Arabidopsis thaliana: one gene and its partners. The protein of the gene in region 1 interacts with the protein of each later gene in a pairwise test. Each region holds a gene or a part of one and is shown in the gene's direction. Other genes may lie near its edges.

Region 1 (7,154 bases):
AAATATCACCTACAACAATATAAGTAATTTGAATTTCGATTTACAGTTAAAATGTGGAAGTAGGACCAAAAGAAAATAAGATTTTAATGTAAGTATATATATATATATATATATATATATATATAACTTAATTCTGTAAGAACCAATTTTTTATATTGTGTACAATTGAAACACGTATAATTGTCAAACTTTAATTTGTATTATGTTTACATATACAAACTACTACTAATATATAAATTCTGGTCCTTAACGAGCTTTTGCAGTAGTTTAATCTGCAACAATTCCCAAATAAACCAATTAAGAGGAAAGTGCATAAATAAATAGGGTAGGGGTAGCATTGTAATTAGGGAAAAGAGAAAGAGCGAGAGTACAATAGCATTTAATGCCTCTTTGTTCGTATTCTCTGCCATCTTCTTTCTCTCATTAATTACTCCTTCTGCTCTCTCGTCTCAGATTCCAAACTCATTTAAATAGCTTTTTTATTTGTACCTAATTCATTCGTTTATTATTAGTATGTCTTTTGCGGTCACAATGAAAACACTTTGAAATTTTTCATAAGAAACATTCAAAGGTCTTTTGATAAGACGCTTGTCATAGCTTTTTTTTCACTGTTCTTTTTACCATGTCCTCTAAAAATGTCCATCACTCTTTCATATTAGACTTGTCTCCTTTTTATATAACAAGCATATCTACATAACAGTACACTACTTGTATACAAAGCCCATTCTAGCTATCAAATAAAACTTGTATAACTGGTTCAGATGGTCTAACTGGGCTTTTAATTTAAGTAGCTTCTTATTTGGGCCTTCTAATTCTGATATGGGCCGAATTTTAGAAAGAACCAAACTCGATTTTAAAGATGTGTTGCTGACATTCAGATCTTTCATTCACACACTGACAAACGCATCCGAACGGTCAATATATACCAATCTTGTCATGAGTTATCATGACAAAAAAAAGGTTTCAATTTTTCTAGTAAATGTTTGTTTCTACCATTATAGTAACAGGAAGAAAATTAAACAACTCAGCGGCATGGGCATATGTAATAACAAATTACGATCTTTTGCCCATCTACTAACACCGAGAGTAGTGCCTTGCACGTGACTTTATATTACAAACCTTCTAGATGAATCCGAAGGTTCCTCAAGTAGTAGTTTTTTTTTTCGTTAACAGATTCTTCAATTAGTAGTTAAATAAGTAGCGGAAGATTGTTGGCCATTAGAGTTTCGCGTGATAGAGAGTTTAATCTTAAAGTATACTCTATATAGTTTGCAAATAACAACATCAATAAACTAATGAGTGAATTCATCAAAAGTTCTTTTTATAAGTTCTTTTCATTTTTGATATAATTTCTGTAAAGGTTATTATCATCACATATAGTTTGTGTTTTAGGACGGTGGTAAAATAAATGTCTCTTCCTCATTGGATTGGCATCTTATCATGGACCCTACTTGTCTTGAATAAGTTGGATCATATTCATTTCATCAAAAAAATTTCTTTTCATTTCATCGTTTTTCAGATGTATTTATTTATACATGGTATTTATGGTAAGCTTAATGATCACTTATTTATTTTCACAAAATCGAGGTTTTAGTATCATTTTCGAATGACAGTTTGTGCTATTTTAGCCAGTAGATCATCATAATTAACAGCCTAAACATTACCTGTATGTATTTTCATATACATTAACTGAAATTTAAGCTTTACGAAGAATGTGCATATTTATAAATCTGTGAATATTTCAAAAGCTTTACACGCGGCAAGGCCAAGAGGTTGGAAGAATATGCAAAATACAAACATGAAATGACAAGGCGCCTTAAAAATAATAATTAAACAAATATGACTTTAAAAGGCTCTATAGTCTTATGTATATGTTCTGTTAAATTTATCCAAATTAAATGAGCCAAAACTACGTTTAGTAAGTATTAGAAATCATAGCCAAGATGTAAATCTAATTAAAGAGGACGAAATTTGATTTCTTAAGTTTTATTTCTCAAAACCATATTACTAGTTTAATCTTTATCATTAAACAGAACCAGATTTCTCTTAGACAAATGAAAGAAAAAATAGAAGTAAAGAATCATCTTCTCTTACGCATCTTATCAAGAACTGCTACATTTAAGCTAACCTCGACACGTGATAACATTTGTCGGACGCAATTTTCATACACAGCCACAAAGCAATCACCACGTCATCTTCTCATCAACTTGGCTTTCTTAATGGTGCCAAATGGCAATGAGTCAGTGGTTGATCTTGACAACTTTGATTGCTACTTGTCTGAAATGTCTACAGATCTGATTCATTACATTGTATACCAAAACTTTCGTCCATTTCCTTGTTGAAATAAGTCGATGTAAGTCATTCTATTCAAATATTTTTTTTCATGAAGTAATTTTCTGGTTTTAAAGCAAAGTAATAGATTATTTATAATTTTTTTAATTTTAATGGCTTAAGGCTAAAGTGACGTTGGATCGATGAAGCCGCCATAGTTCACAAATGGCCGAATTTAATTTGTTGTTTGTATTTAATAAGTCAAAAGAGATTTCCGAGAAGCAAGGTGAACGTAACCTTAAACTAATCATTAGAACATTAATTATATAAGTTGCGTTTATCATTAATATTGTTGCTTAAAATTACAAACTTTCAAAATCCCATGGTTAAGATAATTAGTGTTTCAGAGCCTAAGACGGAACGGAACTTGTGTAATTTTGTAAGAATAAACATATTAACTTCGTGTCTAAAAAAAAACATACTACACTGACTTCGTTTTCTAATAAGTAATTGTTGTAGAATTTTAATTTATTTCTGTTTATGTAAACTGTTATTTTGTATGTTTAATGCATATATTTTAGACAAGATACTTCTATCCATAATAGTTAGCTTATTAATAGAGGTATAATAATCTTTTTAGATTTCATATTATATTTAGTACTATTGGTTTTAGAAAAATGGAAAAAGGTCAAATAAATAATAGGAACACCACTGGTTTATATTTCTTTTCTGGATTGTGTATACTTTTTAGAAGAAAACTAAAACGGCATGTTGAAAAGGAAACCAAGAGGATAGTAATTAGGTCAGATTACTTGTTTAGTTACAAGAAAGTCAAGAAATCTCATAATTGAGTTTAAAACTTTAAACATTTGCATGGAAGTCAATAAATCTATAATCCTTACTCGTGATCATCTTATTGTTTCCGTGTAACGAAATTAAACGCGTAAAACATCGCGTAAACTATAGTACGGTATGTGATATGCAAATATATCTTAATTTATTTTTTATTTTTTATTTTTCTTGGGCAATGAATTGAAGAGTTGCAAAATTATTTGCCAGCTTACCACATGCGGCCACAATTTTAACCATGATTAATCTTCTTTTGGAATTTAGCGAGATAAATCAAGAGTAGGTTTATTTTAGAACATAGTATATAATACACTAATGAAAAGTCTCGTTAAAACGTGTTTCACGTAACCGACCTCTAAAGTATGGCGTGCGAGTAACGACAAATGAAATCTCAAATGAAAATGGAGATTATTTTAATCTTAATTATAACACACTAATTAACACCCGTCAAACATCCTGATATGTGAACGTGGAATCTCGTTACACAATCGAATAAAATTATTGCTTAATACGATCCGTCTTTCTCTCTCTTTCGTAATGATTATCTATCAATATTATCTTGACTAATAAAAGTATCGCAAGGCCTTGGCAGTCACATGTTAAATGATGATATACGTTGTTGCATGTTAAAACATAGTACAACGATCATCTAGGCTGCTGCTAAATTCTATTTTCAAAAATGCCTTTTATATGCAAGAAAAGCAAAATAATCGAGTTTTTTTTTTTGTTTCATTATAAACTGCTTCATTTTTCTTAGGAACGGCCAAACTGTTAAAAAGTAAAATATGTATGGTGATTAATTGATGTAACCAAAGCCAGTTCGCCCGTTTGATTGTCAACCCACGTTATCATTCACTTGATCACTTCCATGAAACATATAAAAGCTGATAATACTTATATTATAAAGGAAAAAAAGTATGAAAATATTATCAGTAGTTAGATGATTAGTTCACATCTAAATGAAATACGACTTAAACTGAAAGAGACATGAGCCAATTCGTGTCGAGCCACAAATTTTGGACGTATATTTTTAGCCCGTGGTTCCACAATATTTGCAGGTCTTTTTATTCAATGAGTTTATTTTGTCTTGGTTGAATAATGAAATTTCCAAATATAAAAAATAATAGAAATCCGAGGCCCTACACAAGCACACATAGTAACTCCCACATTATATATAAGCGGCCAATATCAGCAACTCAGAGATTCCAGAAAGAAAGAAAAAAAAGAAACAAATAATTCCAAAACCTTCTCTCTTAATCAAAATCAAGAAACTTACAAGATCTGGTGAAAACCATGGAAGAAGGAGATTTTTTCAACTGCTGTTTCAGCGAGATTAGTAGTGGCATGACCATGAATAAGAAGAAGATGAAGAAGAGCAATAACCAAAAGAGGTTTAGCGAGGAACAGATCAAGTCACTTGAGCTTATATTTGAGTCTGAGACGAGGCTTGAGCCGAGGAAGAAGGTTCAGGTAGCTAGAGAGCTAGGGCTGCAACCAAGACAAGTGGCTATATGGTTTCAAAACAAGAGGGCTCGATGGAAAACTAAGCAACTTGAGAAAGAGTATAACACTCTTAGAGCCAATTACAACAATTTGGCTTCACAATTTGAAATCATGAAGAAAGAAAAGCAATCTCTGGTCTCTGAGGTACATAATGATTCTATCGATATCTTTATCTTTAATTGAACAGTGATAGAAACAATAATTGATAATGATCTTTTTTTTTTATAAAGTATAAAATAGCAAATACAGTCTTGGCATTTATTGGTTTTTGGGGGATGTAAATTCTCGATCATTTTGCCTAATTTGATATTAATCAATCTCTATTTGCAGCTGCAGAGACTAAACGAAGAGATGCAAAGGCCTAAAGAAGAAAAGCATCATGAGTGTTGTGGTGATCAAGGACTGGCTCTAAGCAGCAGCACAGAGTCGCATAATGGAAAGAGTGAGCCAGAAGGGAGGTTAGACCAAGGGAGTGTTCTATGTAATGATGGTGATTACAACAACAACATTAAAACAGAGTATTTTGGGTTCGAGGAAGAGACTGATCATGAGCTGATGAACATTGTGGAGAAAGCTGATGATAGTTGCTTGACATCTTCTGAGAATTGGGGAGGTTTCAATTCTGATTCTCTCTTAGACCAATCTAGCAGCAATTACCCTAACTGGTGGGAGTTTTGGTCATAAAAGCATATAAGAAAAAAACAGAACATAAGCGAAGAGAAAGAGTGTGAATAGTTTGTAAATTATGTGTTAAGAAAAATAAATTTAGTTTAGTTTAAATCTTGTTTCGATCTATGTATCTACTATGTTCAATACTCTTTGTAGCTAATTAGTAGCTTATAATGAGACTAGAAAAGTTTTGAAGTCACCAAGGTTAAATTTGTGATTGCAAGTTGGCTCTAAGAGTGTTGGACCAAGCGTAATGATCACAAGTACAAGAGTCTTCGTCCATAATGATCTCGAAACGGACTAAAAATTGACCTAAATTTGAAACTAAGTGCATTTATCTCTATATTGGTGCTCTGCTATAATGCTTTCAATATCCTCGAGATGAATTGTCTATGAATTTTATCACCAAATATCAGTTTTGATCACATTCCGGTTCATCAGCTCAGGTTACTCTGTCACTCCCTTCCTATGAGATATTTGTAGCTGGATTGGCAGATATGGAACAACTTCTTGTAGATGCAGAACTAGTTCCTTTTGGTGTTTGTCTTTCCAGTTTATAAGGAACAATCGAGTCATGATAATCTTCCTATGATTGATGTCATGTGGGACATGTGCTTTGTAACCAGACTCTCAACAGAATGTAAAAGAATGGCTCTAAGTCAAGTCTTTATAGTGTCCTTAATCTTGTAGCAACGGTAGCCCCTGGATCATCCCTTCTTCCTTGAGAAATCAAAGCAAACCAATGTTTCTCTTATGGTTCTGTTCTGTATAATATGGGGGTATTTTGGGAATTGAAGTTTTCAACGTCTCTTTCATATGTTTCCTTTTTTAAAGTCCCGCTCCTGTATAAAGCAAACCCTTCGAAATGGGTCGGACAATATGGGCCTTATCACGATGGGCTTTAAAACTCTTATTCATCAAACTAAACCCAACTTAGAAAGAGTTACCCAACAGGGTTTGCATATCACTTCCATTTTACTTTTTATCTTCGAAACAAATCCAAATCTTGGACCAAGAACAATATCTAGATATTGGATACTTTCAGTGAATAAAATATGAAAAACCACTGTTAAATTTCTATACATACACATTTTGACCTGACAAGATCTTTTACTCTCAAAAGAGATAAAGCTTTACTGAGTGAGAATATATTTGTTTTGTACAAATAGAAATCACACAAATATCGCTGGTGAGGAATTTAACCTACTTTGGTAATCAAAAAAGAAAAATATTACATGCACGCATATATATATAAAATTTGTTTTGTTTAACACGGATGTCGATTGATTGGTTATTTCCCTGCTGTGATAAATTCCAAAGTTCAAGATTCTTTTGTGTTATTCTATTTTTTGCTTTTTCTAGTGACAGAGACTGTCAAAAGTTTCCGATTCAACTCCACGATTCGACATGTTGTTTGCTTTATTTGATTTTTAGACCCTCGAATATATATGACTTGGTAATAAATAGCAAAATATATATTATTGTAATTAAGCATATCAGACTATGTCATCACTGGTGGTCGTGTCTAAAACTAGTGAAATTTGAAGTGTGACATATATAGATTCCAATTGTCTGAATTTTTTGGTGTGACTTATATCAGTGAATTAGTTTAAAACTTGTCTTTGATATAAATTTAACCCTATATGCTTTAGAGTAATATAAAAGTTATTCAGAGCTAGAAACTATTTATGAGATCATTAGTCATACTTCTCATGAACATTAATACATAACTAGCCAGGTAATTATACTCGAATTCAAATATAACTATGTTCTAATAAACCAGCTCAAATTGCACTTTTATTTAAATGATTGGATAAAAATAAGTATGGTCTTAAATCTTAATGGAATACATGCACACTAAA
Region 2 (7,392 bases), on another chromosome or scaffold:
TGTTGTTTATGCGTAGTGTTTAATCTACCATCAATATAATGTTATGCTGTAAGGCTTGATTTTGTAATAGAACTTGGTGAGAAGACATCAATCGTCTTTGTAATACTAAGAAGATTCTTGATTCTACTGCCAAGGCACAGACAGACCTGAGTCTTGTAGAAACGGATCGGATATCCGAAAAAAACCGGGATCGGATATCATATTAGATTCATGTCTGAGGAACTTGGATTCATGTTCCTACTTGGATGATTAACTCCATATTACAAGAAGATGATTAGTAGGTGGAAATGTGAAGAAGCACTGAGATAGTAATTGGCACATAATAAAACTGAAGTGTAATACTTTGCTAATTCTTACGTTGACTTTTGAAAGTTCAAACCTTTACGATACCAAAAACCTTCTTCTCCAATGGTTTCCATTTTCCTTCAATCACCCACCTTTTTAACACCACTGAGCTACCCATTTTCATCTCGGAGCTCCACCAAGAGAACCCAACATGGAGCTTCTCTGTCACTACGTGTCACAGCTTCTCGTAGCTCCTTCGATGTTGTTGTTGTAGGTGGTGGGATCATTGGGTTAACCATAGCCCGCCAATTCCTTACCGGGTCGGATCTATCTGTTGCTGTTGTCGATAAAGCCGTACCTTGCTCCGGCGCCACCGGTGCCGGTAATTCTCAACCCTTCTCTTACAAATTGGATCTGACGATTGACATTAGTACATTACCTATGGATTCTGCAAATAAAGCTGGACTCTTGAAGTGAATGAAGTTGACTTAACTTGAAATTTGTGGTTTTTGGATTTCAGGGCAGGGATATATATGGATGACACACAAGAAACCAGGCAGTGATGTGTGGGACTTGACCTTGAGGAGCCATGAACTCTGGCACAAGCTTGCAGAGAGCTTGACTGATGATGGTCTTGATCCTGAAGAGTTGCTTGGCTGGAAAAAGACAGGTTTTTACTGACTACCCACTTTACGTTTGTATAGAATTTGGAGCTCTTTGAGCGACTTTGTTGATCATGATCTTGTGTTGATTCTTTCTTCACTTTAGTCTATTGGGTTCTATACACTATTAGTTAGGTTCTTTTGGCAATGTCATTTTCGTCGTGTTCAACAAAAATAATAGTTCAGTGTATTGTTGTCAACGAAAATAGATGATATATACACCATTAGTTACGTTCTGTTTGTCAACGAAAATAGATGATATAGTTCAGTGTATTGTTGTCACTTGTAGGAAGCTTGCTCATTGGTAGGACCACTGAGGAATGTGTTGCTCTGAAGCAAAAGGTTCATGAGCTATCTGAAGCTGGGTTAAGAACTGAATATTTGTCTAGTGCTGAGTTGTTGTTAAAGGAGCCTGCGATACTTGTAAATGATAATACTGGTGCTGCATTTCTTCCTGATGATTCACAGTTGGACGCCCATCGTGCGGTTGCTTATATCGAGAAGGTTGCTTTTTATGTATTTATTTGATAGTTGAATGTCTCATCTGACACTTTTCTTTTGTGGTTTACTTAGTTTTATTTGAGTTACTCAGGGTAATAGAGCGTTTGCAACAGCAGGCAGATATGCCGAGTTCTATAATGAACCAGTTACAGGTTTAATAAGGTTGGTAATCTTTGTAGCTGAATCAGAACTTTTCTGAACCAAAAATTAAAAATGCATTCTCCAATCTAGGCATCGATATAACATACATATCTGTATACTAAAAACCATGGCTGTGTCCTAATTTTGTTACCTTAAATTAAGAGGCTGAAACACAAAAACAAATTCATCCAAATCTATGTAAATCTTCAGTGGACGCTACTAATCTTTCTTCTACTAGAGTTTTATTAATAGTATTTCTATTCAGGTCTGATGGGGATAGCAAGGTGGTTGCTGGCGTTAAGACTTTGAAACGCAACTTGTATGGTAAGAAGGCTACTATAGTAGCTGCTGGTTGCTGGAGTGGATCTCTGATGCATGAATTGCTTAAAGACTGCAACATTCCGCTGGACGTTCCGGTGAAGCCAAGAAAGGTTTGAAGTCTCGTCTGATTGCCCAATTTATATTCCCTCGTTTTAAATCTCTATATTGAAGTGTATCTTTGTCATCACGAGGTGTCAAAATTCTGGCAAGCCAAGTTCTTGAGGATATTATTGTTTAAGAGCAGCAAGTATATCTTTATTTGTCGTGAAGATCCTTTGCAAGCTTCTTGAAATGGACTGCTTTGGTATTTTTTTAAATTGCAGTATCCAACTTTGCCTTGCAGGGGCATCTGCTTGTGGTAGAGAACTTTGATTCATTCCACTTAAATCATGGGATAATGGAGGCTGGTTACTCGAATCATCAAAGTGCTTCAGTTTCAGGATTGGATGTCGATGAACGGATGCTATCTATTTCCATGACAGCCACAATGGACACATCAGGAAACCTTGTTCTTGGTAATTTCATCAATCTATGTCCACTAAAATCCATGTTCTTCTTATTATGTGTGCTTAACATATTTATCAGTCACACACAATATATCTCTTATCTTCATTTAGCCATCTCTAATTTCAGGGAGCAGCCGTGAGTTTGTCGGGTTCGACACTGAAGCTGATGAGTTTATCATCCGTTGCATATGGGAGCGTGCTGCAGAATTCTTTCCTAAGTTACGTGATATTTCCCTCGAAGATTTCATCCGTAACAGGAAAGTGAGAGTCGGGTTGCGCCCTTACAGTAAGCTTCTTGCATCTAATGCTCCAAACCAAAAGTACTTGAAGCCGGCCTTTGGAATGTTCACAAAACCTGAACTTTTCTTTTAACTGATCATAGTGCCTGACGGGAAGCCAGTGATAGGATCCGTGCCCGGATTACAAAACATGTACTTAGCAGCTGGGCATGAAGGAGGTGGACTTTCCATGGTAAGTAACATTCATTCTAATCCTCTAACACCTTTCTCAAGAACCCAATCATGATTCACGGTTTCTTGAAATCGTTTAGGCTCTAGCAACAGCGGAAATGGTAACGGACATGGTACTAGGAAAACCATCACAAGTGGATACTTCAACGTTTGGGGTTAAAGGGCGTCGTTGTTGCTGATGAAATAGAAGCAGTTTGGTTTAGTTAAGAGAGTGAATCCTCTTAAGCATTGTGGTTGCTATAAACGGGGTCTTAAAGGAAATGTCTATGAGCTACATAAATCTAGTGTTGGTTTAGTCCGGTTTTAGTATACTAAGACCAATTCTAATTCTACGTCTTTAAACCAGACTTTTTCTCTAGCTTTCGACATGCATGATCTATTTTTAATACGGTTGATTACAAATATGTTCCATTCAAAATATTCTCAAACAATAATTTAACCATTTATACGCATATTAGCAAAGATATGTCATTCGAATTTGACCAAAAATGCGCACATGGTTATCATATCCTAGAAAACTTTCAAATCAGTGATTATCACATTCCATATTCAAACTATTGCTATTTATTTATTTCAATATATCTATATATATAATATTAATTGTCAACAAACATATAAAACCACAAGTAGTGATGCTAGTTGAAGTTTTTTCTTTTTCTTATTAACGTATAAGTCTTTTGAGTCTATGACCATCTACATCCATCAGTAGTTTTTAAATTTATCTATCAACTTGACATACATATAGGACTGGCTTTGCCTAAATGGTTGGCCCTCCTATGTCAACTTGATATACATATAGTAATCTTTTAAAATATATATATCTAGTTGTTCTGGTCGGACCGTATTATTGTGTGTACAAGTTCGTACATATTAACGTGTGTGATGTCTATATGTTAAAATGTCAACTCTAATTAGCTATATATACGTTCTTAATTCTCCTAGTAATTATATCCATATCTTAAAACTTTCCAACAATCTTAAACACAAACACGCAAAAGATGGAAAAGAGTCTTCTTGTCCTCTGTCTCATTTTGTTTTTTACTTATAGTTACGTCTCGGCTAATTACTATCCACCTAAAGCCTTAGTATCAACCGTCTCTAAGAACACAATCTTGCCTATCTTCACCTTCACACTCAACACAAACCAAGAGTTTTTCATTCACATCGGCGGTCCCTATCTTGTCCGTAAATGCAACGATGGTCTCCCTCGTCCCATCGTCCCTTGTGGCTCCCCCGTATGTGCTCTAACTCGTAGATTCACTCCTCACCAATGCTCTCTTCCCAGCAACAAAATCATCAATGGAGTATGTGCTTGCCAAGCAACCGCTTTTGAGCCATTCCAACGTATATGTAACTCTGACCAATTCACCTATGGAGATTTATCCATCTCTTCTCTAAAACCTATATCTCCTTCGGTCACGATCAACAACGTTTATTACCTATGCATCCCCCAACCGTTCCTTGTAGACTTCCCTCCCGGTGTTTTCGGCCTTGCGGGGCTTGCACCTACGGCTCTCGCCACTTGGAACCAGCTGACTCGACCTAGACTCGGACTCGAGAAGAAGTTTGCGTTGTGTCTTCCTTCTGATGAAAACCCTTTGAAAAAAGGTGCTATTTACTTTGGTGGAGGTCCGTACAAGCTCAGAAACATTGATGCAAGATCTATGCTCTCTTACACTCGATTGATTACAAACCCTAGAAAACTCAACAACTATTTCTTGGGACTCAAGGGTATTTCCGTTAACGGGAATAGGATCTTGTTTGCCCCAAACGCTTTTGCTTTTGACCGCAACGGTGATGGAGGCGTTACTCTAAGCACCATATTCCCTTTCACTATGTTACGAAGCGACATATACAGAGTCTTTATCGAAGCATTCTCACAAGCCACATCGGGTATTCCACGTGTCAGTAGCACGACACCCTTTGAGTTTTGTCTTTCGACGACGACAAATTTCCAAGTGCCTAGGATCGATCTAGAGCTAGCTAATGGTGTGATTTGGAAATTGTCTCCCGCAAACGCGATGAAGAAGGTCAGCGATGACGTGGCTTGCTTGGCTTTTGTCAACGGAGGAGATGCGGCGGCGCAGGCGGTGATGATAGGAATACATCAGATGGAAAATACTTTGGTGGAGTTTGACGTTGGAAGATCTGCTTTTGGATTTAGTTCTTCTTTGGGTTTGGTCAGCGCTTCATGCGGCGACTTTCAAACACGGCCATGAGAATGTCAAAACAACTTGATAGTTGACATTATCTTGTGATTGAATATTTATTTGTCAGTACTCTGGCTTCATTTGTTATGTAACATTCATGTCAAGTGTGGTTTTAAAAAATTTAGTCAATGACGAATGTCAAAGAATGTAATAAAACACTAAAGTTTTATCTTATTATTAATGAACCTTAATATATAAGTTGCGTCGACAAGTCATTTCACTTTATATAATATTAAAGATGTTACATAAGTTTGATAAACCATGTCAATTATTGCTGATGATTTTTTTCTTACTTCCTTTGTTACTATTAGTGATTTATTTGGTTATTTTTCGTCAAACCATGTCATTATATTAAAGGGGTTATATAAGTTTAAACTACTATGACTACTAAACGATATGTAGTTAGTGAAGTGACTTCTTGCAGATTTAGCAAATACCTCAGCTACTTGGTTAGCTCCTTTTTCACAAAACTACAAGTGGGATGAGCTAACTCTAGTACATCTCTAATTACAGTATGTTGGTATGGCAAGATATTTTCGAAAAACCACCAGATAAAATTACCTAATTAAAAATCAAGCATCTTAATATATAAGACTCTCATTCAAAGTGCTACGTATCTAATCTTAAAACTTAAATGGCTTATAAATGGATTTTTTTCAGTGGTGAAAAATCCCAAATTATGTTCAATCCAAGGATCGTTCATTTTTGCACTTTTTAAGTTTCTAATTGAGTACAACGATATATGTCAATGTCAGTGTAATAATACAAAAAAGTTGTAAACTAAAGTCGGAATTATTTGATTTTCTTGTGTTAAACCCATAAATCCGATTCTCCAATCCAAAGCATATGAAGAACAAACACTACATGAGAAGGTTTTGCTTTCTTTAAACTACATTCCGTTATGCGATTCTACCTACAAACTACATGACGTTTTTGTTCACGTAGTACAAACAGCACGCATGTCTAACAAGAAGATACAAAACGGCCAATATCTCTTCCTTGTCTATTTTTGCATGTTGTTGAACTCGAAACTATAAATTGTAACAAACTTCTTATTCTTCCTCTGTGAGTGAAAAATCAAAAATCACAAAAGAAGCAAGAAAACAAAAAATGGCGATTCTCGACCTCGAGACTTTCAAGTCACTCACTTCCCTCACCTTCAACTTCGAGACTCTCTCCGATACTGTCACTTCCACGAAAGATTCGTCGTACTCTGTTTCATCTCCGGTTACTTCTGGTGATCGCGTCGACGGAGGTTGTATTTGCTCGAGGATGGTCTCTCTTTGTGAAGATTCACGTTATTCTGTTAAAGATGGTATCAATCGCGATGGTTATGATACTGATGAAGAAGATGACTTTGACTACTATGATGATCTCGATGATGATCATGAGCTGGTAAAGATTCAGAGGATTAGGAAAACGGGAAAGAGAACATTCTGGAAAAACGTTACGTTGAAGAAGAAGAAGTATTCGTATTCGCAGTTGAAACCTGGGTGTGTTCATGGCAAGCATGGACTCGATATCAAATTCAGGTGCTGATTTGACTTAAAGATCGTTGTAAAAAGTTGTTTCTTGGCTCATTTCAGATTTGCGTTACTTTGGATAGTTTCTGTGTTGAAATTTGGATGTCTTTTGAGGATTTGATTTAGTTGTTCATGGATTGTTTAGTTTCTGGAATCTTGTAAATCGATATTTAGAGAAGAATCAATGAAGAAGAGTTAGTTTGATAAGAGTAGTTACGTACAACCATGAAGAATATTGAAGATTGTACATGATTTCAGTTGTTCTTGTATGGTTTAGTTTCTGCAATCTTTGTAAATCGATATTTACTTTTGTATAGTATGAACGATAATCTTTAGGTGTCATATGAATTTGTGACATCTTTGCAGAAGTTAATCAATGAAGCAGCATTTACGTTTCATTAATTTACACTCCTTAGTCCATGCGAATCTTGAAGATTTTAATCCCTTTCTTCAATATACCGAAAAACATTGACGAATGTTTTAATATATGTAATATTAATTGGTTTCAAGTGGGTTTGTTTATTTAATTAAGTTTTTGGTTAGTGAGGTTTTTTCCCTAGAATATATCATCAATTGGTTTAATACATGAAGCACTCTTTCTTCTAAATTCTCAATGTAGTTCATAATAAAAACCAGTTAAACTGAAAAAAATTAACGACTTCAAATAGACAACAGGGAAAAAAAATAAAAAAACAAGAATGCGATGAATACTATACTGCATGTATACTTTCAAAAAAGGTTGATGCACCTTCCAAACATAAATGGATAATATG
Region 3 (7,986 bases), on another chromosome or scaffold:
ATCCATTTCACCTGACACAAATCCGAGTGATTAGTGGCCTTAGAAAACAGTTGTTGAAATGTAAGAGCTTTTGAGGTTAAAAATCATGCAAAACAGAGGAAAGGAGAAATTTTAAAACAGAGGGAGAGAGAAATGATCAAGAAAAATATTCATTTTGTTTCTCATAAGTTTTTTTTTTTTTTGGATTAAAAGTTTCTCATAAGTTTCAGTGAACCAAAAGAGTAATTGAATATATAAGAAAACTAATGTATGGCAATTAACCCAAAATAAAATAAAATAATAAATCTAAGCTGAGTTAAGCACATTATCCAAATGAAGTAAGAAAAATCTAGAATAAAAGGGATCTAATAAAACAACAATTTGTATAAATAAAAAACACTATATAAGGAGCAAATAATTTATTTTACCTTTCTCACTTAGTGTATCTATCTAGTAATTGAAAGTTAACTTTTTAAATATAAGAAAGATCTAGATGAGTTGATAATTTTAAATATATTTTTTTACATTTTTGTATAGATATTTTTCATAAGTATTTATTTATATTTAAATTAATTTAATTAAATAATAAAATTTTAAAATGATTAGATTATTAATAAAAATTACACAATGCTGTTGTAAACAACATGCATTATTGCATTATGTAGATTTGAACGTCGGTAACTATCCAAAGATAATATTTATAAAATTAGTAAATTGATATGATGTATTTCATGGTAATTAATCTACTGAATCAAAATCGCACCACACAAATGAATTCATGGAAAACTATCCTTTTGACTTGATAATAGGTTAGCGGGTGGTTCTCTTTTTAGAAATTTAGACCATGAATGGCTTTAATTTGTAACTTTAACTGATGTTTGGCTTTTGGTTTACATATTTTCTTGTTTTTTTTTTTGGAGTTTTTGTTAATGATACAATAACTAAGGAAAAGAAGATAAAAAGGGTGGACTATAGGTTTTTTATAGGTGGTGTTGCACGATAAAATATTTTAAATTTTTATAAAATTTACTAAAGAATTTGAACTCAAAATGATGTATATTATAAAATACTATGAAAAAATATAAAAACATAAGATTAAAATTATCTGCTAAAGGTGAAATCAAAGTTTATGACACAGAGACATGACTCTAATAGATTGAGACAACCTTGAAAATATGTTTTTAACCATAACTAATATAAGATACATTTACGAAGAATATGGTAAATGGACGTAACCCTCAAAAGCATTTAACGAGACTATATTAGCAGTAGAACAACATCATAGTGAAAGATGTGATCCTAATTGAAAACATATCGAATGAAGAGTTATAATGATTAAGAAAACGTTTGACAAAAAGTCAAAAAGAAAAGAAAAGAAGAGTTACAATGATTTTACGCAAATTTTCAGTTTTTTTTTTACAATGGTAAATAAAAAATTTATTCAACAACAAATTATGATAAAGAGACACAAGACTAAGAAGCATTTATTGAGATTGAGTTAAATCCATGGACATGTTTAACAAATAATCAAAAGTAATAGTTATATTTAGGAAAAATATATATAAATATAAGTATAAACAGAAAGTATATATAACCAAACTGGACATAGTTATGACAGATGAGGAACGGCATCGAAGACATCTTAGCGCCTCGAATGTGTCTCAGGTTTATATAGGTGGAGTTGAATCTGTGCTTCACGTGTTTAGAGACTGTCCAGCTCAATTGGGGATTTGGGTCAGATTTGTGCCGCGAAGGAGGCAGCAGGGGTTCTTTTCGAAATCTCTGTTTGAATGGCTCTATGATAACTTGTGTGATAGGAGTAGCTGTGAGGATATACCGTGGTCCACCATTTTTGCGGTGATAATATGGTGGGGGTGGAAGTGGAGATGCAGTAATATATTTGGGGAGAACACGAAATGCAGGGACCGTGTGAAATTTGTTAAAGAGTGGGTTGTGGAAGTGTATAGAGCACATTTGGGTAACGCTTTGGTTGGAAGTACGCAACCTAGAGTTGAACGGCTGATTGGTTGGGTGCTTCCATGTGTGGGTTGGGTGAAAGTAAACACAGATGGGGCGTCTCGTGGAAATCCGGGGCTGGCTTCTGCAGGCGGAGTACTACGGGATTGTGAAGGAGCTTGGTGTGGTGGCTTTTCTCTAAATATAGGCCGATGCTCAGCTCAACATGCAGAGCTATGGGGAGTGTATTACGGATTGTATTTCGCATGGGAGAAGAAGGTGCCTCGAGTGGAGTTGGAGGTGGATTCAGAGGCGATAGTGGGTTTCCTCAAAACAGGGATTAGTGACTCTCATCCGCTGTCATTCCTGGTGCGGTTGTGCCACAACTTTCTACAGAAAGACTGGTTGGTCCGAATTGTTTACGTGTATAGAGAAGCTAATTGTCTTGCGGACGGATTAGCAAACTATACAATTTTGTTATCTTTAGGCTTTCATTCTTTTGATTTTGTTCCCGATGCGATGTCATCTTTGTTGAAGGAGGATACTCTTGGGTCTACTCAACTAAGGCGAGTTCGTTTGTAACTTTTCTTTAGTTTCTTAATAAATCACGGGAGGCAATTGTCTCCCGGTCACTTACCAAAAAAAGACTGGACATAATTTTATAAAAAAAATATCGAACAAAAAATTAATAATAAATATATACAATTTTTAAAATATTATAAAATAAAAATTTATTTAAGAAGAGTTAAGATAAAGATACGCATTCTTAAAATACTTAATTGTAATTTGTACACAACCATCTATAACGAAGAGTTGTGATAGGAAAATTAGAGCAAAAGTAAAACTTAAGGAGAAAAACAAAACCTTAACTGAAAATGTATAGATAAAAATTTATAAAAAAGAAATACAATTTTCTAAAATTTAAATTATTTCATATAATTAAAAGTCTTAAATAAATATTTTGCAAAGAGTTACAACAATCAATAAGCACTACGATAGAAGACATATTTACAATTTATTAATTTGTATATTCACATAATTACTCACCCTTCTCTTACAAGGTAGAGTAAATTATTTTTATTCAAACTCATCATTGGTGTAACCTTTCTTGAAAAGATGTATATCTATCTTAAACTAAAATTGAAGGAGTTTTCCTGTTTCTTAAGATTACTGAGTATTTAAGTATTTTTTATTATTTGGATAAGTTAAAATGGTTAAATGGGTAATTTATAATTCATAGAATCTTACATGGTAGAGTATATTGATCCAAACTGATCATTTGTATAACCTTTCTTGAAAATCATAGATCTATCTTAAAACTAAACTGTAAGCTTTTTTTTTACTTTTCAATTCCCTAAGATTATGTCTCCACTTTAATATTTTACCATTTCTCTTAAACAGAAAAATTGAATATACCTATTTATAAGTATTCAAAATTTATTTTTAGGTAGAATTTAGCGCAAAAGTTTATTAAACTTTACGTTTACAATCTCATTATTTAATATTCACGTGAATGAATATTTTGACATGGTAAATATAATATAACACTATAAATAATATATTTACATATGATGAAAAGAAGAATAATTTGATAAATTAGAAATTCACATAATACATGAAATAATCACATATTAATTCCACCCTAACTAGCTAAATGATAAAAATAAAATCATATAAATCAGTTCATAAAACAAAAAATGTCTCGGGAAAAAAAAAACACTCTTCCAAAAGAGACATGTAATAGTCAATTTATTTCTATTTTCATAATCATCGTTAATCCTCATTGCATGTGGTACAATTATTCTAATAAGAAAAGTGAATCGTCCCAATAAATAATCCTAAAATGCCGTCTTAAAAAAGGCAATCTATAAAATTATTTATAAATATCTAAGAATGAGTTGTCTACTTTCCATTGATTAAAAAGAGAAAATATCATAAACAAAAAAAAAAAGTCAGAGAAGTTAAACCAAAAGCAACAAAAAAGAAAAAAAGAAAGAATAATCAAGAGAGAGGAGAAGAGGACGGTGGAAGATATTTTGCAGTTGAAGAAAATATCTTTGATATTTTTTGTGTTTGAAATATCTAAAACCAAAAAGTTTCATCTCTTCATTCCGCCAAATTGACTGGTGATGACGTGGCAACTTTACCCACGTGTAAAAGCGTCTACAACTGTATCGTTTCTTTTGATATTTTGTTTCTCTCTTTCTCTCTGATATTTTTCATTTTCTTCTTCTTCTCTCTCTCTCTCCACAAAGATAAGCCAACAATGGTTGGTGATTACAGAGGACGCTTTAGTAGCCGTCGTTTCTCCGATGACTCTGACGATTCTTCCGACGATGCTTCTTCCGTGGAGGGAGAGACCACTTCTTCCATGGTATTTATACATATTCCATGTTTTCTTTCTTTTTCATTGATATTTTTGCATGTCTGTTTTTCCTCGCCGGAATCGGAATCTCCGTCGTGTTCGCTGCTCAGATCTGAATTTTTACGGCGATTTAACGTTTTTGATGGAATTAGTGCGTTTATTGTTGATTATTGTGAAGTAAACGAAAGAGTTTATTTACACTAATGAACATAAATTGTTCGATATTTGTCTTGTTGATGAATTTGGTTGCTTCTTTGCGATTGAAGAGATAATTAGATGTTTATAGATTTGATATCTACATAAGGATTCTGAGCTGTGTAATGACAACTTTGTAACAAAATCATTTTTGTGAACTTTGGTGTAGTACTCTGCGGGGAAAGAGTATATGGAAACAGAATGGACTAATGAGAAGCATAGTTTATATCTTAAATCTATGGAAGCTTCATTCGTAGATCAGTTATATAACTCGCTCGGAGCTCTCGGGAAGAACGAGAATGTATCCGAATCAACGAGGTTCGGTAGCGGTAGAAAACCGTCTCAAGAACAGGTATGACACTTTTTTTTTAATAGATGATGATGATGTTATAGTGTTAAGAAGATTTTGGGATCATTGAAATGTATGTTTATGGTATCAGTTCAAGGTTCTTCATGATGGTTTCTGGCAGAAGATTAATGTGAAACAACCTGAACATCGGATTAACGGAAGGCACGGTGGTAATTCTCATGAGTTTCTTAGGAGTCCATGGATTAAGCATTATAAACCTTTAGTAAAGACACAAATCCCGGTAACGGATGAGCCCGAAAATCAAGTTGTTAGCAGCTCTAATGGGAAGAAGGGAATATGCAGCTCTGGCTCAGCCTCTAGTCTCAAGCAGCTAAGCTCTCATTCGCGTGACCACGACCAAATCAGCGTTGGAGAAGGTATTAGTTTATCAAAAATGTGTTTCTTTCCTCTGTTTAGATATGTTGTTTCTATTCTAAATTTGTCTTGTGATGTTTTAAAGCAGAGGTATCGGATCAGAACTTTGTTAACGAAGGAATAAAAGGCGAAAACGGAAGCTCGAAGAAGATGAAGACGGTGATGATGAGTGAATCGTCGAGTACCGATCAGGTAACTTCTTCCTCCACTATTAGTTTGATCATATTAGTGAATGTGGTGAGTTATTGATCCAAAATGTTTCCTTGGCATAGGTTGTTCCACTCAATAAACTCTTGCAACATGACGTAAATTTGAAGTCTGTTTCTTGAGAGGTCAGATGGTGAAGCTTTATATGAGGAGAGAATTTTGTAATGTATATATATTTGCATAACTTATAAGTCAAATTTACTATCCTTAGTTACAAGTTTCTTCATCATATATCCCTAACTATAAATATATTTATATGCTCATGTGAGTGGATTCATTTGTACTGTAAAACCCTTAGAAAGACGTCAAATTAGTATTTGATGGTTTAGTGTTGTCTTGTTACCACTATAGTATAAAATTTCAAGTTCCTTAATTTTCTTTTATGTTGCCCATACAATAAAAATGGTGGTCGAATAAAGGTAAAAGATAATAAAAAATAATTGAGCCGGTTATTATACAAACGGTGTTGTTTGGATAAAGCTAATTGGCTAAGGGTTGTGTATGTGTTGGAATCAAACCTTGATTAATTTCGAAGAAGAATCTAGGAATGAGAAAAGAAAGTGAAGAGGATCAAAAAAAAAAAAAAAAAAAAAAAGAGAAGAAGAGAAGAAGAAGGTGTCTCAGAAGAGTCGATCGCGAGAGTGAGGGAGAAGAGTGCTTTGGGCCATTAAGTTGAATCAGCCCACTATGTTAGTGGGTTGACTTTGATGATAAAGTTATATTTTTTTCTTATTATTATACAAAGTTGGGTTTGTTATATTTAACACCAAAAATAGAAAACATTTTTTAACCATATCGGAAAAATAAAATATATAGGTTGTTTATATATTCAAATTTTTATTTTAATATAGTAAACTATTAAAGTAATTTTACCAAAAAAGTTAATATATTCAAAACATAAGTAAAAATTTGGTTTCGAATGTATAAAATTGAAATTTGATTTTTTAAAATATATAGATTATTATTTAGAATCTAAGTATCAGAAAAAGAAAATTTATTTATTTTTCACACCTCCTATTTATCGGACATTAACTAGTCAATTTAATAATCGTTCATAGATTTTGTGTTACGACATATTTAAAAGATTTATGAAAACAATTTTAAGTTCTGAACATTGCAAGGCTAAATTAAGTATGGACTCAATGTTTCAAATTGTTATTCATCAGATTTAAAGAATGAGTAAATTTTGAATACAAATATGACTCTTTTATTAATGTATCATCATGTTTTTTTTTTTTTTTGAGTATAACATGTAAAGTAAGCTAAAAGTTTAAAAAATAAATTAAAAAGAAAAAAACAAATATTTTTAAAATATATTAAAGCTCTATTTTGGTGTCGGAGGAGTTGCACCAGCAATTCTTGAACATTGTTCCTTTAGCATTGGAGGAAAAAGCGGAATGAATGGAATTTTGGGCATACAATTGGCTTCAGCATCCAAAAATGCTTTGCAACAAGCCGGACCTAAATTACCGAATTTTCCAATGAAAATAGATTGAGAAATTTCTGTAATGCATCTGGGAATATCCATCACGGATGACAAACATTTTGTTATGTCAAGTAATCCTGGCATACCAGGAATCGGTTGGAACGGAAATGGAAAAGGAAACGGACCAGGAATCTGTGGCAATTGAGCATTTACAGAAACAATGATGCATAAAACCGCAAGAAGTGAAAGCACATTTTTGATAGACATAACGAGAAATTGAATAAAAAACCTTAGTATAACCAAATATATGCTTAATGCATGTTCTGTTTGTTTTTATTGATAAACAACAATTAAATCTTTGCTTATTTATAAGAAATGAAATGTGAAATTGTGATCTGAATTATCTTAGTTTAACGTCTCAGAAATGTTTTAATTAGGTCTTTAATTAGTCGTTTTATAAATTCAAATAGAGCTGAAACTCCATAAAACTACAACATTTAGGAAATAAAAGTATAATCGGTTTCACATAATAAATCAATGAACGCAAACACCTTTTCCACTAAAAATACAACATTACAAGGCAAAAGGCCCATACGGCCAAAAGCCCAAAAGCATGAAATCAAACACAAACCTGCGAGAACGAACAAACAGAACAACAATCCTCCTGAAACTAATCTTTTCTTCTTCGTTTTTTTTTACTAGTCCTTTTAAGTACTGTCCCAAAGCTTTCTAATTGATGTCAAAGCAAATCACACCAAATAACTAGATAAGTAACATTTGCTTTTTAAATACAATACATACATAGTTATTCAATCTTCATTGAAAAAGTTGGTTTTATAATTAGGGGAACTAACAAATATTAGGACAAAATCGCAATTTGCAGAAGATGAAAAAAAAAATTACTGTTGTTTGGTTTCTGGTCAACATAATTAGTCTGCTAAATCTCCCCAAAATAGAAACAGATAGAAAAACAGTAATCATGAGGTAAGAATAAGCAAATAGGGAAGCGTGCCAGTCTCTAACAAAAATCTCAATCTTTCCATACTTATCGATCACGTCACCTCCTTTGTCTCTATTACCTAACTCCATCCTTAAAAATCCAATCTTTCACCTTTCTTCTCCGAGATTTCACTA
Region 4 (9,397 bases), on another chromosome or scaffold:
CCGACGTGGTAGCCTGATGAACTTTTGCGTTCATTGCCCAGATTTGATCTTGAAGGTTCTGGAGCTCCGAGTTGACTGTGTTTGGCTCTTGTCGGGGATTAGAAATCGGGAGTCTGATGGCGGGATCCAGTGGAGCCGGCGTCCGAGCTATTGTCCCATCTGAGACTGCGGCAAGGCCTGCTGGTGAAGATTGTATGACTGGATTCTGTGTCGACGTTGCCCCGACGTCAACTGGAGGTGAAGGAGATTGCTGGCCAGAAGCTTCCTGCGAATTCTGGACGCTTGGGCTTGCGACACCCTGAAAGTTGAGTCGCGTTCGAGCTCCAGTAGTCCGCGCCGTTCCTGCAGAAAGAGAATCAACCCGCTCGGCGTATGCATTGTGCGCTGATCTGATCTCGGAATGGTTTGCTGCTAAAGCTGCGAGCTGGCCATTGCAATGTTCTTAGAAAAACACGAACTTATCGGAGAGTGTCGTTACTGCGAGCTGTTGCCGGTCGGTTTTCTCTGACAACTGCTGAAGCAGCTGCTTGATGTCGTCGAGGGTGGAGGTTTAGTCGCCGGAACTCTGACCGTCGGTGTTGCTCATGGTGAATTGATCGTTGCTCTGAAGTTAAAGACTTAACTTACCCTCCTTCTAGCGCCAAATTGTGGATGCCAGAATCCGCAATTAGAATTTTGTGGTTGTTTTTGTGAGGATCTTAAGTCTTGTCGGTCGAACAATGATCAAATGATAAACGGATTTGTGTATTTCAGTATAGTTTCAGTATAGTTTCAGTACAAGGTGTTTTCGTCCCCTTTACAAATGACAATTGACTCTTATTTATACTAATACAACGAATCAAATGACTTAAATGATTAGCTGGTTTCACGCCGCAGACCTCGCCCCTATTAACTTCGTACGTTGCGGATCAACAGCTCGGGCCTTTGAATGCTTATCATTCAAGTCGATATCCAGCCGTTACTAAATTAATTCCGTATCAACTTTTTGAACCACTGGGCTTTCATTGGGCTCTAAGGCCGGGCCCAATCCTTGTCTGGAAGCCCACAAATTGCGGGTCGAGTCGAGCACAAGATCCGACATCCACAAACCATTACTTTTTGCTGGTCTCGGGTTTTGAGCCGGGATCCACAAATCCTCCCAAACGGAGATGGAAGCCCCTGAACCGACTTTTTTAATAAGTCCTTTACAAACCAGAGATCTAACTGAACAAATACTTCTCCAGCCATAAGACGGAGAGTATGATTTTATATTTTCCAGAGGATTGGATTTCCTAAAATATCTTCGTTTAAAAACCTTGGCAAAGAGAGAGTCCGGAAACGAAACTAGACGCCATAACTGTTTCGCTAATAATGCAGAGTTTAAATCATCTACATCCCGAAAACCTTAGTCACTTCCCAATTTACTAGTACACAGTTTGTTCCAAGTCATCCAGTGTATACCTCTAGATTCACCATTCGAGCTCCACCAAAATCCTGCGACCGCACTTGTTAGTTTGGAAGTAATTGTTTTCGGGAGCCTAAAGCAATACATCACATAAGTTGGTAATGTTGCGGCTACTGATTTAATCATCACTTTTTTCCCTCCTTTTGATAGGAATTTAGTTGACCACCCATTTATTCGACTGTAATCGATCTTTAACAACGGAAAAGATCTTTGTCTTAGATCCCCCTAAACTCTCAGGTAGTCCGAGATAGGAACCCATGCCTCCGATATTATGTATACCCAAGATCGATTTTATTTCTGCCTTTATAGCTTCATCTACTTTATGCCCGAACTGAATCGATGATTTTACAAAATTTATCATATGTCCTGATACCGCTTCATATTGTTTTAGAATACCCAATAGTTAATAGACTTATTATACCCACATTAGTCTTAATTTCTTTGAATGTCACTATATTTATTTTTTAAATTTATATTTGTAATTATGTTTATCGCACATAAATTTTTCATATAGTATTAAGTTTTCTTGATTTTACTACTTCTAAAAAAATAAAATGAGATTTTCAAATTATATTATACCAAATAAATTAAATTGTGAAAATTGAACCACAGATTTAAAACATAATGTACAACTATTTCATATAAAACAACATTCTTTTCTTTAGGATAGTTACAGTAATATACCAAAAATCAAATTTAAAATAAATTAAAATTTTAATAATGTTCTGTAATAAAGAGAAAAATATATAATAAAACACGTACTAATGCATCATAAAATACACATTTTATGTACTAATAAGTATAATAAACATGTTATCTTAACTAAACATAACCAAGTAAAAAAAACATACTACTATATCAATAAAAGTAAATACATATACCAAGTAAGTTGAAAAAATAAAACTATTGCTCAGTTATTTATATATAGATTATATTAAATTGAAACAACAATTAACTTTCTAACGCAAATAATCAACTCGCTGTGTACCGCGGGTCAATATCTAATGATGTCATAATTCTCGTAGACAAATAGACAATTTTTCCATATGAGTACATTTGATGCAAAAGTAGACATTTGAACTGAAACCTATTTTTGTTTACAAACATTCATATCAACAACTAAACAAAAATCGAAACTAACTTGAATCAATTAATCAAGTATTAAATTAATATGAAAAGTGGACTCAAATTTAACTGAATCGATTTAAACCTAATCAAACCAGATAATTTTTGATTCTAAACCGGTTTACCTATGTCACAAAAAGGACCATCCATGTCATATTTTTTTTTTAATTTTTAAAAAGTCAAGTTGTTTTAAATATACTTGAGATGCAAAGAAAGATCCGAATCATATATCCGAAGATTCCGAAACCAAAGGCGGATCCGACGGCTCCAAGCTGCCATATTCCCTTGTTACTCTACCACTAAATTAAGCCCCACATAAAACAATAAAGACACGAAATATAAATACCTAAGCAAAACTATAGGAACCGAAAAAAAAAAAAAAGAATAATTCCAGCATCATTCCTCAAGTAATTTAAAAACAATTATTAAAAGAAGCAACTTGGTCTTCCATTTTTTTTGCTACAAAAAATTTAAAACCCCAAAAGAACTTAAAATCTTTTACATAAAGATCACCAACCAGCCACATAGAAAACACAACCATCGGTCTTCTTATTATTCTTTCTTCAACACCAAATAGTCATGATGAAAGTGGTGTCACCTCGTACACGGTCGGATTCAATCACTGAGAAGGTGTTTCGACGAGTCTATAGCAATTTTAACATCTCAACAGTAGAAGATGAGTATATCCATCGTCAGAGATCAAGTGATTATGAGAAGGAGAGTCGTCTAAGGAAGAGAGGGTTAGAAGACAAAGAAGAAGTTATGGAGATGGAGCAGATGGGAGCAGAGAGGATCAAAACTGTTCTTATTCTCATGAGTGATACCGGCGGTGGCCACCGTGCTTCAGCCGAGGCCATCCGCGACGCTTTCAAGATCGAATTCGGAGATGACTATCGGGTAAAAATATTAATATTTTTATTTATATCTTCATTTTCATTCTCTTTGCCTTGAATCCAACGCATAGGGTTGAGCCAATAATATGCTTCCTTAACCATATATATAACGTACAAAAAAACGAAAAAATATTGCATAAGCAACAAAACTTAATCATACTTTTATCTTTTAGTTTCTGTGTAAAACAACAACAATATTTTGAAATATTCATTTTGAAAATTTCAAAGCTTGTAAATATATACCTCGAATAATATGTATTTATATTATGACAAAATTTTCCAATAGATTATGTTATAATATATCATAGAGGAGTTTCTGATTCTAATGAAATCTCAGCCGTCAATATTAAAGTTGTCGCAGTAGTCGTCTTGAATTTGAAAACGAAAAGAAACAAATATCTACTTGGAAGTTTTGTAGCCTAGTATGAATCTTGGAGTTTGCCAGGGTGTCGGAGATACGAGCTGACGTCAACAATCTATGTCTTAAAACCTGTCCCACGTTCCATTTATTTTGTTTGTCAATAATGATTAAAAATTTGCATTATTTATTTCTCTAGCTCTGACTCTTTGATGTTACAATATTCTCTCTAGGAACTAATGTCATTTTTTTTATAACTATAGATAATCATAAAAGATGTTTGGAAAGAATACACTGGATGGCCATTGAACGACATGGAGAGACAGTACAAGTTCATGGTGAAACATGTTGGTCTTTGGTCTGTTGCGTTTCATGGTACTTCTCCCAAATGGATCCACAAAAGCTATCTAAGTGCTCTTGCCGCTTATTATGCCAAGTACTTATATGTTAACCTTCTTCTTTTTTCGTTATCATCCCTTAGTGTTACGAATTAGCAATATAATGGAGATTATTTCTTCTTTTGGTGAACAGAGAAATAGAGGCCGGTTTAATGGAGTACAAACCGGACATTATTATTAGCGTGCATCCTCTGATGCAACACATACCATTGTGGGTAATGAAATGGCAAGGACTTCACAAGAAAGTTATTTTCGTTACGGTCATCACTGATCTAAACACTTGCCACCGTACATGGTAAGATGACATTACTTCTATATATACTAAGTACTTAAAATCAGTTTAATCCACGCGTTAGCATATTAATCCTGCATGTTTACTCTCATGACTTTTCATTTAATAAAATATAGATTATATGCAATAATATTTAAAATTAACCAGTGTTTTCACGTCCGACCCAAACCGTTCGGTTCGAACGGTTAATCAGCAACCCAAACACTTTTTCGGTTTAGGTTTAGTACTATAGCCAACAATTTTAAACCCGGAAAAATCCACAAAAAATCGCCATTAACCCGCGACCCAGTGAACCGGTTGAACTGGCCGTGTGTGAGTTTTAAAAAATATATTCGATTTTTGAATAAAATATAGCATTTTAGACTCTATTCAGCTATTTTTAGAAAAAAAATTCACTTTTTAAACTCATTTGATTTTTTTATATTTTGGTGAAGTCTTCACAATTCCGCCTAAAGTGACTGAAACCGAGATTAGTTGTTTTAATTCGCAATGTTTATTAATTTATTTTCGTCATTAATGATCTCCTACTATATTTGTTACGGTTTTAGTCTTTTAGACTTTTAGTTAAATTGAAAACTTTGATTGTTACTGTTTGATTTCATATTTTGTTAAACATAAGATAATTATTTTTGTTTTATTTTATATAATCTCTATTAATATTAAATATATTCAATAAATTTTATTCAATTGACCTGTGGTCTAATTCGGTTAACCCCATTAATCGGTGATCCAGAAGAAAATCCGGTTCACTGTCCGGGTCAGGGTTTAAAACATTGAAATTAACCTAATAGCTCAAAATGAAATCTTCGATTTTGATGTAATAGGTTCCATCATGGAGTCAGCAGATGTTATTGTCCGTCCAAAGAGGTTGCAAAGAGAGCATTAGTAGACGGCCTTGATGACTCTCAAATCCGTGTCTTTGGCTTACCTGTCCGCCCATCTTTCCCTCGCACTATTCTCAACAAGGTAAATTCTGTCCAATTCATACCATTTAGAGATCTTTTTTTTCCCAATCAAGAGAAGATCAACAATAGCTATTATTATGTGTGTTTGTTAGAATGAACTAAGGAAGGAACTTGAAATAGACTTAAATTTACCTGCGGTTCTATTAATGGGAGGGGGTGAAGGAATGGGTCCGGTTCAAAAAACAGCTCTAGCCCTTGGAGATTCTTTATACAACTCTAAAGAAAGTAATCCAATAGGACAATTGATTGTCATATGCGGCCGGAACAAAGTCCTTGCTTCTACATTAGCATCTCATGAATGGAAGATTCCGGTCAAGGTACAAACTAAAATATAATTTTTTTTTTACTTCTACTATATACTTATATACCAAGTAACTAATATATACTTGTGACGTTTATAGGTTCGAGGGTTTGAAACACAAATGGAAAAATGGATGGGAGCTTGTGATTGTATCATCACTAAGGTAAGTCATATCTTTGAATCCTACCCATTCATATAAATAGCACTAAGATTTTATGACATAAAACAGGCTGGTCCGGGTACGATTGCGGAAGCACTGATTTGCGGCCTCCCAATTATCCTCAATGACTATATTCCTGGACAGGTATACATTTTTTTGCTTCACCTTAGGGATTAATCGGCCACATAAACTAACTCTATTGTATGTGACTCCCAAAGGAAAAAGGCAACGTGCCGTATGTTGTGGACAATGGGGCTGGAGTTTTCACCCGAAGTCCCAAAGAAACTGCGAAAATCGTGGCGGATTGGTTTAGCAACAATAAAGAGGAATTAAAGAAAATGTCAGAGAATGCTCTAAAGTTGTCGCAACCTGAAGCCGTGTTCGACATTGTGAAGGATATCCATCATCTATCCCAACAACAACAACGTATTCCACTTTTTAATGAATTTTCCTATTGAAGTGTTGTTTGTTTAGACTATAGGTTTCTCTTATTTCATGATTCTTATTAATGTATATTCTCTAGTGGTTTGTCATTCTTTTATCAGTCTTTTTCAACATTTATTTATGTATTTTATTATATAAAATATGGTTTTCAATGTTAGTAACTCATATGATTGTAACACGTGTCAACTTCATCGATCTCAGATTTTGACATATATAAATAAAAAAAATTTGTTTTATTAAATTTAAAAAACAAAAAGATAATTGTAAATTATAAATTTAAACAGTTTTCAAAATGTAAGAAGATAATTACAAGGAAACTAACTTATTATATAAAGTACGGTTTTCAAAGTTAGTAATTGATTATGCTATGTGCAAATTTTATCGATCTCAGATTTTAACACGTGTAAAACAAAATTTTCTTTTATTAAGTTTAAGACTATAAAAAGACAATTGTAAGAAATTATATATTTTAAAATAAGTATAAGGAAACTAAAACATTTTAGAGAAGTAAATATGATAAGTTTTAAAAAAATATATGTATCTTATTAAATTAAAAATAGAAATTAAAAAATCATTTACTAATTCTAATTGAAGCTACTAATTCTTAATCAAAATTGATTACTTTTTCCTACAAAATTTAAAAAGGATTTAAGAAATTATACAATCTTGTTATATAAAATACCATAATTATGGAAACTACAATCAATTATTAATCCTAAAAGAAAAACGATTCAAAATACTCATATCTATAAAAATAATAGGTAGTCTCCTACTTTTTCACCAAACCAAAATACTCTTCAAAAAGACCACAGTTGATTTAACGTCATACTAATGGTAAAGATTTTTTGTTAGTTTGTGGATTTTTATTTTAGTAATTTGTTAACTCATTTATTATTAACTAAGATATAATGTTTTTTTCTTTTTGTTAACTCTGATACAATATGATATAACTAGTGATGTTAATATGGGTATGCAAACCTCATTTAATTAATGGGTTTGTGTAAGAGAAATTGACCCATTTAAACTCATTTAGAAAAAAATTAAATAGGATTAAATGAGTTAACCCAACTAAACCCATTTATTAAATGGGGTTTCACACAAATAAATGGGTACCCAATTAAGTCCATTTACTTTTTCATTTTATATTAGTAAACCTTATTAAAAATGTTAATGTGTTAATACATTAAAACTAAATTATTCTACTTAACTTCACTTTTTGGTTTAAATATTCAAATCACGTTTTCTCGTCAAAATCATAAACCGACGTTTTTCCCCCAAAATCACAAAAGTTGTTTTCATACTAAAATCACAAAAAGTGTTTTCCACCAAAATTGAAAATCATGTTTTCCCGCCGAAACCGTAAACCGACGTTTTCCCACCAAAACCGTAACCACATTTTCCCGCCAAAATCACAAAAATTGTTTTCCCGCCAAAATCACAAAAATTGTTTTCCTGCCGAAATCACAAAAAGTGTTTTCCACCAAAATTGAAAATCATGTTTTCCCGCCAAAACCGTAAACCTATGTTTTCCCGCCAAAACCGTAAACCAGCGATTTCTCGTCAAAACCGGAAAACCTACGTTTTCTTGCCAAAACCTGAAAATCGACGTTTTCTCCCCAAAACCGTAAACCGACGTTTTCTCCCCAAAACCGTAAACCGACGTTTTCTCCCCAAAACCGTAAACCGACGTTTTTCCGCCAAAACCGTAAATCAAAATCATATAACACTATTTTGATATAATATTTTTAGCATTTATTCATTAAGATGAAGTCCGTAGAATCAAAATCCAGTTTATAATGATTAAATAGATAGTTAAATTGTATTGCAAATGGAATGTGTAAGATTGGAAATTTTTTTAAATTAAAATAATAAATTAAAAATGAAAAAGAGAGCAAGATACTATTTTGAATTCAAAAATCATCGATAAGATGTAGTTTGTAGAATTAAAATGCAGTTTATTAATATGAAATAAATAGTTAAAGTGTATAGAAAAATATGGGATGTGTAAGTCTGAAATTTGGTTTGAAATTTTTTAAAATTAAATGTTAATAAAAATATTTATTACTATTTAGAATTCAAATATTAATGATACAAAATTATATTTATTTCTTACATCCGCCTTTTTAGGCGGGTCTTATCTAGTACATATATATCTTACATAAATAATTTTAAAAGGAAAAAATGACTTCATAGGAATAAATTTTCTTTTACTTGATGAAAAGATTTTTTTTTTAAACCTAAATATTTTCCTATTTATTTATCTTAGTTTTAGTTTTCAAAATCGAAAATACTACTATTCAAGGCTTTGTACATCATTCTATAATTGAAAAGTTTGGAGGTTGATGATGTGAAGGTAGTCTTATCAAAATTTACTACTTAAATGTGTACTATTGCAATAAGACCCACAAAGTCTCTGATCATAAATTTCAGAGATAACGACAATCGTTTTCGTAGATTATGTATATTAATCTATACTATAGAAAAGTCGAGGCCTTTTGCTTCTTCTGCCGTCCACATAGGATTTTAAACAACCAATTGTGATTAGCCATCTCGTTAATTAACATTTATGAAATTATTCTTATTTTCTATTTTTCTTTAGATTTTTGTAAAGAAAAAAAACAAAATAAAAAAATATGGAAAGTTTTCTAAATATTATGCCACCAAATAATATAAAAAGTATCAAAATGTAAATTTCTATTTTATTAAATTTATCAAAGTAAATAAATTATTTATTATTAGTGTCTTTAAATTTATTAATACTTCATCTTCAATTACAATAGCCACTTTATCTTAATAACTATCTCATTGAATGATTAGTTTTAAAATATACTAGTTTTATATTTATTTTTCTTTATAAATATGAGAAATATGATAATATATTGAAGCAAGATGTATAATTCATATTAGAATACATTAAATAATTCAGATTAGTCTCACAATTTTGATTATACTATCAAATTTTTATAAGTAACCAACCGCGATTAGTCTTATCACTAATTGATAATTTTGACATCACG

The links.
Region 2: the proteins of HB-12 (region 1) and AT5G48430 interact in a two-hybrid assay, tested with the Arabidopsis thaliana proteins (one large-scale study listed by BioGRID).
Region 3: the proteins of HB-12 (region 1) and COR27 interact in a two-hybrid assay, tested with the Arabidopsis thaliana proteins (one large-scale study listed by BioGRID).
Region 4: the proteins of HB-12 (region 1) and MGDC interact in a two-hybrid assay, tested with the Arabidopsis thaliana proteins (one large-scale study listed by BioGRID).

What each region holds. Positions count from the first base shown.
Region 1 is NC_003074.8:22,912,499-22,919,652, reverse strand, and holds HB-12 (homeobox 12), read left to right. Parts: upstream 1-4,259; 5' UTR 4,260-4,413; coding exon 4,414-4,767; intron 4,768-4,953; coding exon 4,954-5,307; 3' UTR 5,308-5,499; downstream 5,500-7,154. UniProt on the Arabidopsis thaliana protein: Probable transcription activator that may act as growth regulators in response to water deficit.
Region 2 is NC_003076.8:19,625,605-19,632,996, reverse strand, and holds AT5G48430 (Eukaryotic aspartyl protease family protein), read left to right. Parts: upstream 1-3,829; 5' UTR 3,830-3,884; coding exon 3,885-5,105; 3' UTR 5,106-5,363; downstream 5,364-7,392. Other genes in the region: sks3 (SKU5 similar 3), read left to right, coding at 85-206; AT5G48440 (FAD-dependent oxidoreductase family protein), read left to right, coding at 409-667, 806-955, 1,237-1,451, 1,540-1,610, 1,855-2,020, 2,254-2,425, 2,544-2,702, 2,799-2,887 and 1 more; AT5G48420 (uncharacterized protein), read left to right, coding at 6,207-6,635.
Region 3 is NC_003076.8:17,195,928-17,203,913, reverse strand, and holds COR27 (cold regulated protein 27), read left to right. Parts: upstream 1-4,120; 5' UTR 4,121-4,201; coding exon 4,202-4,309; intron 4,310-4,664; coding exon 4,665-4,847; intron 4,848-4,935; coding exon 4,936-5,221; intron 5,222-5,304; coding exon 5,305-5,411; intron 5,412-5,491; coding exon 5,492-5,548; 3' UTR 5,549-5,749; exon of another isoform or gene 5,750-5,995; intron 5,996-6,242; 3' UTR 6,243-6,273; downstream 6,274-7,986. Other genes in the region: AT5G42910 (Basic-leucine zipper (bZIP) transcription factor family protein), read right to left, coding at 1-6; AT5G42905 (Polynucleotidyl transferase, ribonuclease H-like superfamily protein), read left to right, coding at 1,591-2,339, 2,473-2,500; AT5G42895 (ECA1 gametogenesis related family protein), read right to left, coding at 6,751-7,119. UniProt on the Arabidopsis thaliana protein: Together with COR28, involved in central circadian clock regulation and in flowering promotion, by binding to the chromatin of clock-associated evening genes TOC1, PRR5, ELF4 and cold-responsive genes in order to repress their transcription.
Region 4 is NC_003071.7:4,740,240-4,749,636, forward strand, and holds MGDC (monogalactosyldiacylglycerol synthase type C), read left to right. Parts: upstream 1-2,922; 5' UTR 2,923-3,148; coding exon 3,149-3,466; intron 3,467-4,027; exon of another isoform or gene 4,028-4,083; coding exon 4,084-4,256; intron 4,257-4,351; coding exon 4,352-4,513; intron 4,514-5,334; coding exon 5,335-5,476; intron 5,477-5,567; coding exon 5,568-5,792; intron 5,793-5,876; coding exon 5,877-5,939; coding exon of another isoform or gene 5,940-5,975; exon of another isoform or gene 5,976-5,979; coding exon of another isoform or gene 5,980-5,985; exon of another isoform or gene 5,986-6,005; coding exon 6,006-6,080; intron 6,081-6,154; coding exon 6,155-6,394; 3' UTR 6,395-6,571; downstream 6,572-9,397. UniProt on the Arabidopsis thaliana protein: Involved in the synthesis of monogalactosyldiacylglycerol, the major structural component of photosynthetic membranes and in the chloroplast envelope biogenesis.